Schizosaccharomyces pombe: one gene and its partners. The protein of the gene in region 1 interacts with the protein of each later gene in a biochemical or structural test. Each region holds a gene or a part of one and is shown in the gene's direction. Other genes may lie near its edges. The genes, in order: pcp1, cam1 and kms2.

The links.
Region 2: the proteins of pcp1 (region 1) and cam1 form a complex in vitro, tested with the Schizosaccharomyces pombe proteins (2 studies listed by BioGRID).
Region 3: the proteins of pcp1 (region 1) and kms2 form a complex in vitro, tested with the Schizosaccharomyces pombe proteins (one study listed by BioGRID).

Annotation. Positions count from the first base shown.
Region 1 is NC_003424.3:3,253,306-3,259,965, reverse strand, and holds pcp1 (gamma tubulin complex linker, pericentrin/kendrin Pcp1), read left to right. Parts: upstream 1-1,685; 5' UTR 1,686-1,800; coding exon 1,801-5,427; 3' UTR 5,428-5,565; downstream 5,566-6,660. Other genes in the region: ubiquitin hydrolase Ubp6, read right to left, coding at 1-265; ARP2/3 actin-organizing complex subunit Arc4, read left to right, coding at 522-524, 580-782, 913-1,036, 1,218-1,394; pcd1 (coenzyme A diphosphatase), read right to left, coding at 5,596-6,453. UniProt on the Schizosaccharomyces pombe protein: Spindle pole body component that binds calmodulin. Overexpression of pcp1 causes the formation of supernumerary SPB-like structures and disrupts both mitotic spindle assembly and chromosome segregation.
Region 2 is NC_003424.3:1,442,336-1,446,833, forward strand, and holds cam1 (calmodulin Cam1), read left to right. Parts: upstream 1-2,514; 5' UTR 2,515-2,594; coding exon 2,595-2,597; intron 2,598-2,723; coding exon 2,724-3,173; 3' UTR 3,174-3,998; downstream 3,999-4,498. Other genes in the region: tif310 (translation initiation factor eIF3j (p35)), read right to left, coding at 1-737, 781-793; GARP complex subunit Vps53, read left to right, coding at 4,368-4,498. UniProt on the Schizosaccharomyces pombe protein: Calmodulin mediates the control of a large number of enzymes, ion channels and other proteins by Ca(2+). Among the enzymes to be stimulated by the calmodulin-Ca(2+) complex are a number of protein kinases and phosphatases.
Region 3 is NC_003423.3:646,186-651,178, reverse strand, and holds kms2 (protein Kms2), read left to right. Parts: upstream 1-2,159; 5' UTR 2,160-2,189; coding exon 2,190-2,252; exon of another isoform or gene 2,253-2,295; coding exon 2,296-3,042; exon of another isoform or gene 3,043-3,108; coding exon 3,109-3,672; 3' UTR 3,673-4,243; downstream 4,244-4,993. Other genes in the region: DNA replication factor C complex subunit Elg1, read right to left, coding at 1-1,199; rba50 (RNA polymerase II-associated protein), read left to right, coding at 4,601-4,993.

The DNA of each region.
Region 1 (6,660 bases):
CTGACTCGACAGCTGGAATGGGCATAGCTGTTGGTAGTTCGCCTGCAGTACCCATCATTAATAAAGTTGCATTTGGTTTAATACCAACTGAACCAAGCAAAACATCGTCTTTAAGCTGGCCACCTTTGACAATCACTTTCTGTCGTTCCGGAGGAACTTGTGTCAACGAGTATAGTTGATGTTTCAAGGTGCTTCCTGTTTCATTAGGTTCAATCTCTAAGTCGTACTTCTTCCCTTGCCAACGAATTGCTATGGGAATCATCATAAATGGTTTTTGTAATTAATGAAAGAAATACTTGTTTAAGCCCAATATAATTTTTTTTGTAATTCTTTGCAAATTATACTTATTATATATGTTGCTGGTACTTGGTGAAGGCCATACAGTAACGAGCTATATACTCATTTTCGGTAACACCACGCAGCGTGCGTGGTTGTGCCGCTAAACTCGTTAAGCAATATCACACTGACACTACGTGTTAGCACAAAACCAAACCCGGAGACTGACTCCATAGATTCTAATTATGGTAAGAGAGGAATTCTTTTGTTATAAAAAGATATGATTTATTAACGAAGGCATAGTCTAATACCTTAAGACCTTATTTAAACGCAGTTCGTTCTACTCTGACTGCTTCTTTAGCATTAGAGGAATTCTCATCAGAAATTGTAGAACGCCAGAGTCAGCCGGAAGTTGAGGTTGGACGGTCTCCTGAAATTCTACTAAAGCCCCTGGTGGTCTCTCGTAATGAGCAAGAACAGTGTTTGATTGAGAGCTCTGTTAATAGGTATGTCTTAGGCATCCGATGTTTCCGATTCGAACTGGTACATTCACTGATCTTTCGATTTGGAATAACGGAGTTTTGAAAGTCATTCTCATTATTTGGATTTTTTTTACTGATGCATTTATGAAATTAGTGTTCGTTTCAGCATTCGTATTAAACAAGTCGATGAAATTGAACGAATTCTTGTGCGCAAATTTATGCAGTTTTTAATGGGTCGTGCAGAATCTTTCTTTATTTTGCGCCGCAAACCTGTTCAGGTACGTTATTACAAATTGTAATTGGCAAAAAAGTGTTCAAGGGAAGAATTTCTAGAGATTTTGCGTTAGTTTAAGTGTTCACTGTTCTGCCTCAGCCATTGTATAGTTCTTCTTTTTTTTCTTTTTCGAAGTTGCCATTGCTATTTGTAAATATCATCAAACTAACCTTTCTTTGTTATAGGGCTATGATATTTCCTTTCTTATAACTAATTACCATACTGAGGAAATGCTTAAGCACAAATTAGTTGATTTCATTATTGAGTTTATGGAGGAAGTTGACGCTGAAATTAGTGAGATGAAACTTTTCTTGAACGGAAGAGCTCGTCTTGTTGCTGAAACTTATCTGAGTTGTTTTTAGATTCATGTTTACGTTTTGGACCCTATCGATGATTTTATCAATTTATACATAAATAAATGAGCACCAAATACTTCTTCCGAATAAAATTCCTATCTCTTCTATTCTGTATTGAGTACAATAAACATATCAAGGCAGTTTTACATTCGATAATCCTTCATATCTACAATCTCGCCTTTTGACTTTTAGCATCCTTACAAGATATAACGAAAGTATACGATATGTTGTTACTTATATTAGGGAGCTGTTTCGTAGTTTATTTGATCATTTGACGACTGTAAACAAACTACAATCAACAACATTTTTGCTTTTTAATGATTCTGCCAGAATAAGTAGTTTCTATATAATTTTATGCACTTGCGCTAGTTGGTGGATAATTTTAATAAATACATGCATCCGCAGTTACGTTATGTCTGAACGAGATTTTAATACGCAATCTCCCAAATTTAAAGATGAAAACGCGAATTCTGTGATCAGCCAATCTGATTTTTTGGGGAAATCACTCAAAAATAATAACGATGATTATTCTGATTTCCGTGGTTCGTACCTTAATGATAAATCATCTTTCCAGACGCCTTTGCGCAACGGCTCTTATCAACCAAAAGGTAGTTTGGAATTTACTCCATTATTACAGTCTTCAAATAAAAACTCAGATAAATACAACGGGAGTTTGGGCGATAAAGGCTCTTTTGACCCTAATTCCTACGGGTTATCTGCTATATCTAAACAAGCTACTCAAGAAGCTTTGAGCATCAGTCAGGGAAATGACTCTTACGACGTTTCCAAGCTTACCGATCTCTCGAAAAATTCCGAAATAGATCACACAGATGGAGAATTGCCTGCAAATGCCGCCCTTACTCTTCGTGAGCAAGAAAAGGTCCTTGAGAAAGTTAGCAGAGAAAACTTTGGACTTCGAATCAAAATTGTATGTTTGGAAAAGCGACTTGAGTCTATGGCTCCCGAACAGATAAAAGAAGCTGTCAAAGACAATGTTGAGTTGCATGCCGAACGAGCAAACTTACAGCTTCAGCTTAAGAGAACTGAATCTTTACTTCAAAAGTCTGAAGACAAGAATTTCAAATTAGAAGAGAAGGTCGATTATTTATCTAAGGTTAATGATGTCGAGCAATCCCAGAATGTAAAAGTTTTTACGGAGCGCATTCGTTTTTTGGAGAATGCCTTGGAAAAAGTTCAAAGGGAAAAAGACAGTTTATCTACAGAGATGGAAGAGGATAAAAGTAACAAGGAAGTTGATTATGAATATGAAATACGACAGTTACAAAATCGGCTTGATGAATTATCGGAAGAGCTAGATGTTGCTCAAGATTTGCTTACTGAGAAAGAAGACGAAATTGCCACCCTGAAAAGACAGATTGAGGAAAAGGAGAATAGCTCTTCAGCTTTTGAAAATGAGGAGAATTCAAGCTACGTACATCTTCAAGAAGACTATGCGATTTTGCAAGCCAAATGTGATGAATTTGCGGATAGAATACAAGTGCTTACTGCCGATCTCGAAAAAGAGAAAGAAAATCAGATAATGCATGAATCCGAGGCCTCAATTGGTTTGACAGATTCCATGCAAGTACATACCCTTCAAGAACAATTACACAAAGCGAACGAAGAAATCGAATTTTTACATGATCAAATTAGTCGAATGAACGAAGAAGGTAAAAACTTTGAAGATATTATGCTTCAATTTAGAAGCTTGGAAGAAGAACGAGACGTGCTAGAATCCAAACTCCAAACTTTGGAAGATGACAATAACAGTTTACGGTTGATGACCTCCTCGTTGGGTAACCAAATTGAGTCTTTACGTACGCAAAATCGTGAAATAGATGAAGAGAAGAATCATTTACGTCTTCTTGCCTCTAAAAATTCAGATAAAGCACTTGCAGAAACGAATATCCGATTGCAAGAAGTCACTAAAGAACTGGAAACCCTTAGAATGAAGAATTCTAATGACTTAAACGAGATACACGATCTTAGGGAGGAAAATGAAGGCTTAACTTTGAAGATTGACTCTATTACCAAAGAGAAAGACCGTTTAATAAATGAGTTAGAACAACGTATCAAGTCATACGAAGTCAACGTTTCTGAATTAAACGGTACTATTGATGAATATAGAAATAAGCTTAAGGATAAAGAAGAAACTTATAATGAAGTGATGAATGCTTTTCAGTATAAAGACAACGATTTGCGGCGGTTTCATGAATCCATTAATAAATTACAAGATCGAGAGAAAGAGTTGACTTCAAATTTGGAAAAGAAGAACTTGGTCATTAGTTCATTACGAGAGACAGTTGCAATGCTCGAAAAAGAAAGAGAATCCATTAAGAAATATTTATCTGGAAATGCGAAAGACCTTGATAATACAAATTTAATGGAAATTCTGAACGATAAAATTTCAGTACTTCAGCGGCAGCTTACCGACGTAAAAGACGAATTAGATGTTAGCGAAGAAGAACGAGAAGAAGCCATAGTGGCTGGACAAAAGCTATCTGCTAGTTTTGAATTAATGAGCAACGAAAAACAGGCTTTGGAGTTAAAATACTCTTCGCTAAAAAATGAATTAATAAATGCCCAAAACCTCTTAGACCGGAGGGAGGAAGAACTATCCGAATTAAGTAAAAAACTCTTCGAAGAAAGAAAAATACGATCTGGATCAAATGATGATATTGAGAAAAATAAAGAAATAAATGTGCTCAATAGCGAGTTGGCCGACAAGCTTGCTCAAATTCGTCATTTAGAATCTGACAAAATGGAGCTAGATAAACTTGTGCATCACTTAAATAGGGGAATTGAGGAGGCGAATATAGAAGAAAATGCTGTCAAAAAGAGACTATGCCTTTTGATGGGATGTGATTATTCTTCGGTGAGTATTTTGCAGATAGTCAGTCAAATTGAACATTTTGTCAATCAACAAATCCAAACGATTCGGTCGTTGAAGCAAGAGTTACGGCATGATTTTGTACAGTTTTCTGGTAAAAAGGAACAGGAACTTAGTAGAAGCTTTGAAAAATTTGGATTGGGAACTGAGACAAAGCATGATATTCTTGCACAACGAAATCGAAACGTTAGTGAGAAGATGAATGACTTGGAAAACGCTGCCCAAAAGTTTTTTAGCTCTCCTGATCGGAAGAATGGCTATTTATATCCTTCTGAACATACTTCTAAAATCGAGTACCTTGAGAAAACGATTGAAGATCTAAAGCTTGCGCTTCAAGATGAACTAAAAAATCGAAATTTACTCATGGATGATATTTCCAGCTATAATAAGCAAACAACCAAGTTGCAGGAAAAGATTAAATGGTTAGAAAGAGAACGTTCGATACTTATCGATGAGCTTGAAAGTTATCGATCAAACCAGTTTAATTATCAGAACAACTTAGTACAAGATAAAAATGAACTGGAAGAAAGGCTAAAGGAAATCCAGAAGGAATTAGAGGTTTATAACAATCATTTTATGAAGCAAGCTGAATTGATGACTTCCAATGTTACCGACGAAAGCCAATTAATGCTTAAGACACTCAGGGAGGCTCTTCAGTCTAAGACTAACAATATCGATCATCTGTCTACTATTTTGGAACGTAATAGAAAAGAATATAAATCATTGTTAGATGACTATAATCAATTACGTGCACGCTATAAGAATTTACAATCAAATACTCCGCAATCCACACAGTCAGGGCAATACGAATCTGAAATAAAGGGACTCTCTAAGTTGACTAAATATCTTCAATCGAAATGTCGAAGAGAGCACTCTCTTCGTTTGGACCTTGCCTTTTCAAAAAAATTTATTTTAATGCAACTAACAGGATACGAAACATGCAATAAAATAAATTTACGTATGCTGCAGAAAATTGGAATTTCACCTGATCCTGATTTATCTAAGAAACACATAAAGCTGAAGAGTCTAATTATCGTTGTTTGTTCAATTGAAAGAATGAAGCGAATGAAGAATGAGTGGCTAAAACAAGCTCAATTGAAACAATCATTGCAAAGAGCTGCCGCAAAGGCAAAGACCGCAAACTACTAATCTGGGATACTTACGTTTTTTACTCTCTTTTTTTTTAACAACATTCAATTAATTCTACTACTATAATTATTTTAATTTATTGACTTTATTATCAAGCATTACTATTAATAACAGAAGAAAAAATAAATATTAATTAAGTCTATGTAGTAATGGTATTAAAGCGTAAAATCAAAACTTTGGGATTGAGATAAGAGCATCCGGGCAAATAGAATTAAGATACATATTTAATATAACCGCTGTTATTCCCCAAATTCTTGGAATCTTATCAATGTTAAATTCGACATAAAGCAAATCCGTATTACGAAATCGAGATATCTTTTGGTGCTTGGGATTTAAAAAAGAGGTGAGAGGAACGTAAAATAAATCTTTCACTTCACCTGTCCCAAGTGAAGGAAGGGAGGTTTGCACCGAAAACGCAAGGTAAGCCCGAATCTCAGTCTTTTCATCTCTGGTGAATAATGGAGGGAAAGTAGTCAAGTAAGTAAAAAAATTAGGGAGGAATCCAATTTCCTCGTAAGTTTCTCTTAATGCCGCATAATAATGAGAACCGTCTGAAGGTTCCACACGGCCACCAGGAAAGCACATTTGTCCAGCATGAGAACGCAAGTTTGGAGAACGTTGCGTGAGTAGTAAAGAAGCTCCTTGAGAAGTGTTTACTAGAGGCATCAAAACAGATGCAAATCTCGTAGGCTGGTTAGTTGGTTTTAATGGTAAGGTGGGGCGATTTTTGTGTAATAGGTATATTTGATGAGAAAGAGAATCCATGGTCAAATCTCCGTTCTCGTTTACCACGCCATTACTCACCAATTTCTCAAGCGGCGACTGGTGAAGATAGGTTACATGGTGCGATTGACTGCTGAAATAATGCCTTTGGATGTATTTAATAGCTTCAAAACAAACTTGATTGTTTAAAATACTATTTCTTTTTGAAAAAGTATTCTTTAGAGGACTCCAAATAAAGCCTACCAAAGAGTTTTGCCTTGTTAAAAATCGTTGATGACCTTTCCAGCGGAGCTTTAGCTTCATAATTTGGGATTTCTTGTCCAACTCTGCGAATTCCGCTTTTCACCAGGCGTTGGAATGTAGAACTTCTAGCAATCTAAAATTGATTAGTACGTATATCTATTAAGATGAAGTCGTTTTATACCCTTGATGCGACGTAGGTGGAAAGTAACTCTACTATAATTCGTTGAATCATACAAAGTCAATAATAATTTAAAGGTAGAAGAATAA
Region 2 (4,498 bases), 1.8 Mb from region 1:
AGCAACGGTTTTTTTAGAATTAACATTGACCGTAGGTTTTCCTCCTTTCTTAGAAGGAGCTGCAGTTGATACTGGTTTGGCAGCAGGAGCAGCGGCACCTCTCTTAGATTGAGTTTTTTCTTGCTGCTCTTTGTTGACTACAAGTTTATTCACTGATTTCTGAACTGCCTTCAAATTGGTAGCATTAAGGCCGGTAAGCAATAAAGGGATTAAATCTTGCACAAAATTATTATACTCGGCAGTGGTTTGACAATTTTTAACCTTCTTCAAAATATCAGCTTGGAAAGCTGCATAGTCGGCTTTTGTTTTGAGTTGTCGTTGATCAGCTTGCTTGGAGCGGTTTGCACTTGCTGAGTTTTTATCAACGATGTCAAACAAGTCCATGGCATTTGCCAAGTCAGAGTCAATTTCGGCTTGTCGCATAGCTTCTTTGGAACTTTCTAGTGATTCTTCCTTCGCAGCTGCTTCACTTGCTTTAATGGCTTTTTCGAAATTTCTTTCCTGAATTTTTTGTTGGATACGAGTCATTTTGTTAGAGCCTTGATCATTTTGGCTAGATGAAGAGGATTTTTGGGATACTGAATGAGAATCATTTTGCAAGGATTCTTTGTTTTCTTCTTCATCTTCATCCTCTTCGTCGTCAAATCTCTTTTTTGGCTTGGAAGAGGATTGACTATCCTTCCCTAAGGGGAAATCAAACTCTGCAGGCTTTGCAGGATCTTCTACTAAAAAGTCCTCTTCATTTCAGTTAATAAACATGTAGAATCATATATAGCTTACCCCAGCTATCCATTTGGAATTCACTTGATGGTTTTTACAGTCTACTAAAAAGGTATGTGGTTCAATAAGGAATTTATTGTAGTTGCACAACAAAATTACGAGATGAATTGAGTAGGAAAATATTCAAACACACGTACTGATAGAGTTCAACAATAAATACTTTAAATTCTCGATCATTCTTATTATTTTATTTTTTATATGTTTATTTTTATTTTTATTTTTTTATTTTTTTTCTATGAAGGATATGAGTACCTCGAATTATTAAAAGTTAAACTTCCCATTTCACAGCATTTTATTAAATCAATTGAGATTTATAAATTTGAATCTTTTAAGGAATTATACTCAAATTTTCATGGTCATTCTGTAGAGATGTCTTTAAACAGGAAGTGCAAAAATTTAAAATTATGAGAATAAACTATAAAATCTTTAAAAACAAAAGACGTCTAAATTTATGATTATTAAAGACAAAAAAATGCTCAATTTGAATTTATTTTTTTATTTTTTTTTGTGTTACATCAATAACAACAAATATTGTTTATTCGATTAAAATATCCGTTCAGACTAAAATCAATAAATTCGGCTACGGTCATTGTATCAGATGTTGAGGTTCTGGATTTTTATACATTGAATAAATCATTTAGAAAAGAATTAATATCGAAATATATACAGGCAATGAAATCCTGCTTGAATAATATATTGTTATTTACTTTTTCAGTTTTCCTTCTTCATTTGAGTGTTCAACTAGAAAAATTATCAGATCAAAATTGGCATATACAAAAAATACAAAAGCAGATTATGCTACACAACAAAAATGCAATTCATAATAAACGTGCAAAAAAACCTTTTAATGAACTGCACTTATCAAAAATGCTTTTGTTTAGCAAATTTTTCAAAGCTATGTCATTTTGCTCAATTATTTGGAGACTTTAAACCGTGACAGTGTTTGTAAATCTGCTCAATAATTAATTTTCCATAAATCAAAATGAAAACAATATTTTCATATCATGAATAATAATATCACTAACTCAACCTCATAGAGGAAAGTGAAAAACACGATTTTCTGTTTACATTCAGCAAAAAATTGCGCTGTAATAACCATTTCCAAATACTGCATTTACAAATATTTTTTGTTAAATCCTTTTGCGATTTAAACATCGAGTACGATATATAAGTTGAATGTCGACAACGTTCCGTTGCGCTATAGCATACTACGTTGTGTATCACTAATTATCACATGTTTGATTTGCTCTGTCAAGCTGTACATGATAAGTTACTTAGGTAGATTACTAAGAGTTATAAAATGAATAACAAAAAAAATAATAGAATGCTTAAATTTTATGAATTGAAATAAACAAAACCTCGTTTCTCTATTCACTTTTATGCTAATTCGGTGATAGGTAACAATATAACCTCTATATCAGAATATCATTCTAAGTTACTAAATGTATTTACCTGTGTACCATAATACAATAGGTCACAAGTAAACCACACGGCAGTTCTAGGTGTCGTTAAATAGATACCAATAAATGCGTAGCTGACATTGAAAAAGTTCCTTCATCCGCCGTTTAGTGGTTTTAGTGCGGTTTATAGCAAGTACGTTACTGGTTTGTTAGAGCATATACGATAATGTAATAAACTCTCATTGTTTGTTGACATCACTGTTGATGGTAGGACTTGCAACATTAGGAAGCGACAACGGTAGTCCTCATTTCTCCAAGGCACTTTAACGTAACTAGAGCAAAACACTAACCGCCAAAAATAAAGGTTAAAAAAAGGAATAGAAGGACTTTAGAGTTACTGATTTTTACCAGAAAATGGTATGTTTATTATATTGTTTGGACATATTCCGATTTTTCCTTTGAAGATTGACTAACAATCGTATGAACGGATGACACTCAGAAAATGATTTCTGAAGTCGTCTACCGTATCGTACATTATTACAGACTACCCGTAACCTTACAGATGAGCAGATTGCAGAATTCCGTGAAGCCTTTTCACTGTTTGATCGTGATCAGGATGGAAATATCACGTCCAATGAATTGGGTGTAGTTATGAGATCGTTAGGTCAATCGCCTACTGCCGCCGAATTACAAGATATGATTAATGAGGTCGATGCCGATGGTAATGGCACAATTGATTTTACCGAATTTTTGACTATGATGGCCCGAAAAATGAAGGATACCGACAACGAAGAGGAAGTTCGCGAAGCCTTTAAAGTCTTCGATAAAGATGGAAATGGATACATTACAGTCGAGGAGTTGACTCATGTGCTTACAAGTCTTGGTGAACGTTTGTCTCAAGAAGAAGTAGCCGATATGATACGTGAAGCCGACACCGATGGCGATGGTGTAATCAACTACGAAGAATTCTCTCGTGTCATTTCTTCCAAGTAGAAGGGTTGGAATTTCTGTGGAATATTTGTAAGCCTTAAAAAAATCAAAATATCCTTGCTGGGGTTTCCACCCTTTTAGTTCTTCTTTATAACCACTCTCCATCGCAATTTGGACAATCTCTTTACCAACTTAACCTCGGCTATTGTCCTTTACTTTTTTTTTCGTCTATGATTTTGAAAAACATTAGTTAGTGTATTACAACGTTTTGGTTGTTTATTTTGCTGGCCTAGGTGTGTCACAAAAGTAACTATGGTAGCATTTGTTGTTACCATTCATCTCATGATCGATCCTATGAATTTTAACGCTTCCTTTGTTTCAACACATAAAGGAATCCTTAAGTCTGGGAACATATACGTTATTGCTATGAGAATACCACGCACTTTTGCATTATTGCATCCTACAATGAATTATTAGAAGCTTCATCTGTCTGTTATATGATGCATTTGCTCGTACTAGTATGTGCCTAGTACTCGCTGTATACGTTGCATTTATGTCCTTGCAATTCCCATGCCCATTATTTAGCTCAATCTTCCTTTTCTTTTTTCCTTCAAGATTTACTGTTCATTATACTAGTCGATGTTAAAATTTTTAGCATTTTTCTAGTTATATGCACTTCTTGAAGCCGTTTTCTCACTCTGGTAGATATACGCTTTGTTTTGTACTTAATACATTACTTTATACAAATACATCTCTCAGTATGAAATTTTGTGCGGCACTTGTCGAAGCTAAGCTATACGTATTAACTAAACATAAATTCATAAATGACATCGTTTATTTTCTTTTTGCATTTCACGTAGTTATTCCGATCGTAAACAGAAATTCATCATTGGAATATGGACATTTCCTAAGAAGGAAGGCTCTGCGCCGGTAAAGTTCAAGTTAGTGAAGTTAAAACTTATCTAAAATTCAACATCATGGTACATATATATTCAAAAAGTTTTTACAAAGTTATCAGTTCTAAACCTCAATGTCCTCCTACTTGCTATTCAAGCCAACCTAACTTCCTCTCACCATCAACCACCCGCTATATGGTTTCGTATATCCCTTCGCCGTCGAAAACTTGTACCTAACTATACGAAATTTTCTTCTTTAAAATTGCCAAAAAAAAAGCTTCGAGTTCTATACTGCGCTGTATTACATAACACTTTGGAATCAAGGGTTAGCAATTACCATAACTAAATTAATTATAGCTCTATGTCGAATGGAAATGATAATTCTCTAATTATCAAAAATATTGGGAATAATGAATTTAAATTTGTAGAAACGCTTCACGAATTATTACCAGAAGATATCACTTATGATGATTTGGGTTCATTACGACTAAG
Region 3 (4,993 bases), on another chromosome or scaffold:
TCAATGATATCCGGTTCAAAGTCACTTTCCGAAAGAGAATCTTCATTTCTTTTAGAAGATGTACAAGAATGAATAGTCGAGGATCGAGATATAGAAGATGAAGGAGGTACAGATGAGCTTTCAGGTTTGGTCAACCTACATGACCTTAGCCAATCCGCTATCTTCGAAAGGCATTGAGAGAACGCACAGCAATCTTGTGTTTTAGATGGAGCATATTTTGACACCCACAGTCCTTTTTCTAATATTTGTGGGATCATTGGCATTTCAACATTAGGATCTGATGGCAAAAGTCTTGACAAAACCTTTTGAATAAAAGGAGCCGGTGAAAAGCACAACGATTCCAAAGCAAAAGTATGAAGTTTAGAAGGAGTAACCTGTAATACTTCTGTTTTATTTTTCTCAGCTAATGGGGTTATCATATTCGCGGTGGTGGAGGAAAGAACCTCCTTAAACGAAAGATGAGAGGTCTCTTCTAAAATGGCTTCTTCTAAATGCTTTTTCGGAAACCAGAAAACACTCGGCTCAATAGAGCCGGCATACTCTAACATACTCTGGGAATCGGGTGTCGGCCATAATGGATCAAGTAACCTCTCTGGCTTAGTACCGCCTCTTTCTTCACTTACAAATTTGATTTCAGAATTCTTTTTCACAGACTTTGACATGAAAAACGGGTGCATGGATGTGACAGTATTTCGCAGATTACTAGGTGAATCTGCTAAGTTTGAATAATGTAACTCGGAAACAAGGGGGGAAGAATTAACTGTTTCCTGTGAATTAATATTCTCAACTAAAATATTAGTATCTGATGCTTCTCCCGACGACTTAGCAGGCGGAAAGGCAGTTGAGTTGGTATCATTGCTGAGTTTTGGGTGTAATATATTCTCAATTTTTTGACCCAAGGAAGTCGATACTTTAAGCGTTACTAGTAAAGATTGATCATTTTCAAAGTCTTTGCTTTCCTCCATATCCATATCAAAGAATTTCCTCATGTAGCTACGTTCCTTATGAAGTGATCGGCTTCTTCGAGGTTTACGAGACCCTGACAAAGGAGATTTGCCAAAATATTTATTTTCAGATGTGGCAGGGACTGGTGACATTGTGTGTCTCCTCCCAATAGGCTTTTCTTCTTTTGCTTCATTTTCGGATTTTAAATCAGGATTACTCTGCGAATCTGCAGACAAATAGCCTACAATTTGCATAGGGATCTTCAATCACCGCATAAGTTCAATAAAAGTCCTAGTTTGAATGATTTTTAGAAATAGTTTCACAGGTTTCTCAGCTTTCAACAGTTTGGTTAAGGAGAGGTAGACAAAGACTCCGTGTACTAGTGAACGAGTATTGGGAATTCGATAAGCTTATAGTTTAGATTTATTTATTTTTAAGTATGTTTTAGATTACTGAAATTCCTAAATAAAATATCGTTGCACCATTGAAGCAACACGATCCTCCATATTATCATTGTTATGTGTAAGCTGTCAGTAATTGAATAGAGAAGTAGGAGATATAATCGTCACAGTTAAGCTTTTTCATCTCTTTTAAAAACGACTTACCAACTTTTAATGTGAGTTTGCTTATTCCATGCAAAGAAAACCGAGTTCAATAGCTATTAATCCATAGCCTAACATAATCAGTGAAATAGTCAAAAGAAAAATTTGATACTAATATACTTTTTAGAAAATTTTAAAGAATTTGTATAATTACTATTTCTACTACCGCCAATTAGTCGGAACGCTGACTAACTTTTTGTGCATCGTTGTAAAATAAAGGAGAGCAGAATTTCACTTGTTTATGATTGTAGTAAATTTTCTAAGTTAAGTAGTCTATTTACTTCAATTAAGTAAATCTAGATTCAAGAAACGGATCACATTTGTTTATCTGTTTATTTATTTGTTTGTTTTTTAAAAAAAGGTAAGTGTAAAGCTTTCCTTCCACTTTAACTCAATCAGTAAAAAATAATTTATTTTGAAGATGATTTTGCTAACAATTTTATACATTTCGTACTGCAACATTTTGCTAAAATATCCTGTTTATGTTTTGACTTGCACTTTGTTTACTTTTTTAAGGCAACTTCTATAACGTATTGTTCTGCATTACATTACAAAAATAAGAAAATCGCACAAGTTATCGTTAACAAACCTGCCTTTATACTAATTCTGTTTAACCAAAGCACATGTCAATAAACAATCAAAATGGATGAATACATCCCTTTTGACGATATTGTGCGCCAATACGACCCAGATTATACAGGAAAAGTAATTTCTCATTACTTGAAAAATAGTTTCTAATTTTCGACAGGTTTCCATTCAAGCATTTTTAGAAATTGTCGACGATGTTGACGCATTGCGACTTAATCCAGAGGCCCCTTTGCTTGATAATGAGCAAAGACAATCGGCCCAAGATTTTATAAAAGATAACAGTGAGATTGTAGTGTCTACGAGTGAAATTAAGAATTTGTTTTATGAGTTAACTGGTCTTGACCCTGATACCCTTCCTGTAAACAAATTAGCTTTGCGCGAGAATGGGGTATTACCAAGAAAAAGTGTAGCGAAGCCTCAAAAAATATCAGAAAATCGAATAAAGAGAAAAGATATGTTTTATCAAGACGCAAGTTACATAACACCAAGAAAAGGATCACCTTTGAGTCATTCAACCCCTTTGTCAATGTTTCGAACTAAAAATGAATATGGATCAAATAAAGGATTTTCTCATATAAACAAGGAAAATGCTGATGATTCTTTAATTCAACAGCTTTATGAAAGGATAGAGCTTCAAGCGGCAGAATTACGTTCTAAAGACGAGCAAGTTAAAGAACTAAACGCGCGAAATGCAAAATTATTGGAGGAATTGGATTCTTCGGAAGAAGCTTGCAAGTCTTGTTATACCCAAGCGAAAACCTGGGAGAAAAAATTTCGTGAAGCTCTTCGTGATTCTAAGGAGTATGCAGCTCAATTACAAACCATTCATGAAGAGTATGAGCAACAGCAAGCCCATATTGTGAGAATGGAAGAGCTAATCCATGCTGTAGAAAAGGAAAGGAAAACGGTATGATTTTTAAGAATATGCCTTATTCGAGGTAGAGACAAGCCAGTTTACTAATTTGTTTAATAGGAAACAGATTACATGAAGAAAGAATCTTTGTCGGAACAAAAAGAAAGAGGCGCTTTTATGGAGTCAAACATGATTTTAGAAGAAAAGGTTGCACATCTTCAGTTGGAAAACGAGCAGTTGAGACTATTTTTTAAGGAAAAGGCGCCTCAACCCTTCCAAAATCACCCTCCGTATCAAAATCTAAAAATTACTTTTCCCAGCCCTTTCTTTCACATCCCTTACATCCCTAAAACGGAGACTTTGAACGATTCCCAATTTGCCGCTGGTCTCTCTTTACTGGCATCAGAACTTGAAAGTCAAAAAAATCTGTTAAAGAAGTTCGAAAACTTAAAAAAGAAGTCTTCCAAAGATTTTTTATCTCCCTCCACCATACTCTCTAATGCTTTTTCCAAAGTTTCACTCCCCAATTCTTTAATTTTGCGTGTCTTATTTTTTTCATTGTTGTTCATCATCGGAATTCATATTTTTTATTTTTTGTTTTTTCATGTTGCAACAATTCAACAATGGCCTTTTCTTTTTTGGTTACCATCTACAAAATTCGACAATCGTTGGTCTCCGACATGAATCTTAGATTCAAGTTTAATCCAATTTTTATTTTCAAAGCACGGATTCCAAACTTAATTGCTATAATTGAACATTGATTCAAGATTTATGTATATTGGAATAATTGATGTATTTATGGGGCTCTGCTCAATTCAAGACGATCTGTATCTTCTAACTCTTCGCCTGATAGGCAACGGACAAGAAGTTTACATTGAGCTAATAATTAGTCGCATCTCATCTGCGTTTGGTTTTAGGTGTGTCATATGAAAAAGGGTTAAAGCGACGTTTTTCGTTTTTATGTTTGAATTAAGATATTTTCTCTGAGACGAAATATTTTTAGTGTTTATCATTCTTTTCTTGTCTAATCTTCTACTCGCCACTCATTTTTCTGTTCTCTATTTTTTCTTTTTGGATGAATGTCGTTTCTTCTAATAACTTCTTTCTTTCTTTAATCTTCAAGGATAGCCCAAGTCCTATTAAACTCGGATACTATCTTTCTCATAATTTCTCTTTTATAACTAGAAAACTTTTTCACGAATTAATTATTTATTATGCACTTTTAATATTAAATGAAAAGTATTGAATTAAAAAAGGAAAAAACCATCCATTTTTCATATCATGTAAACATTTAGTTTTTTTTCCATACAATAAATCAATTTTTACAGTTACGTTATCATATATAGTGAGATGTACCGTTATTTTGTGAGCGCAAAATAGCTAAGAAAATGAGAGAAAACGTAACCATCCCTGCAATCTACCAAATGGTATGTAAATAGTGAAAGGGAGAAAAAACTCATAAGGTTGAAGTATTTATTATTCATTTAATCAGAATCTCATAATACTATCTCAGAGGGCTTTATTCGTGAGGTTTGAAGAAATTGACCCTTAAATTCTTATAAAAAGGAAACATCTACATACAAAAAGCAGATATTTTCAAAATTCAATCGCTATGGAGAATCACAGGAGTGTATTCTCAAATGTGATAGGTGATATTGTTGAAAAACCGCCGAAGCAACTTGTTGAAGTGAAGAGGTCAGTTCAGCGGCATGCTAGGGGATTTCCAGCCGTTTCACGAACATTGCCGAAACGAGAATCGAAATCAATGAGTGCTTATAAGGAGAAGATGCTTCGAAAGAATAAGGAATCTCCGGGTTTGGAAGGAAAAGGGAATTTGGATGATCAAGGTATTGATGAGGAAAATCGCGTTCGTTTGGAAAGGATGAATGATCTGGAAATTGAAGGAGCTCAAGAGGAAATTAGGGCCACTATTCGTGATGACTTGCTGGAGATGTTGAAAAAGAGAGCGTTTAAAAAGAAGGCGGAACGTGAATTGGCACAAAGG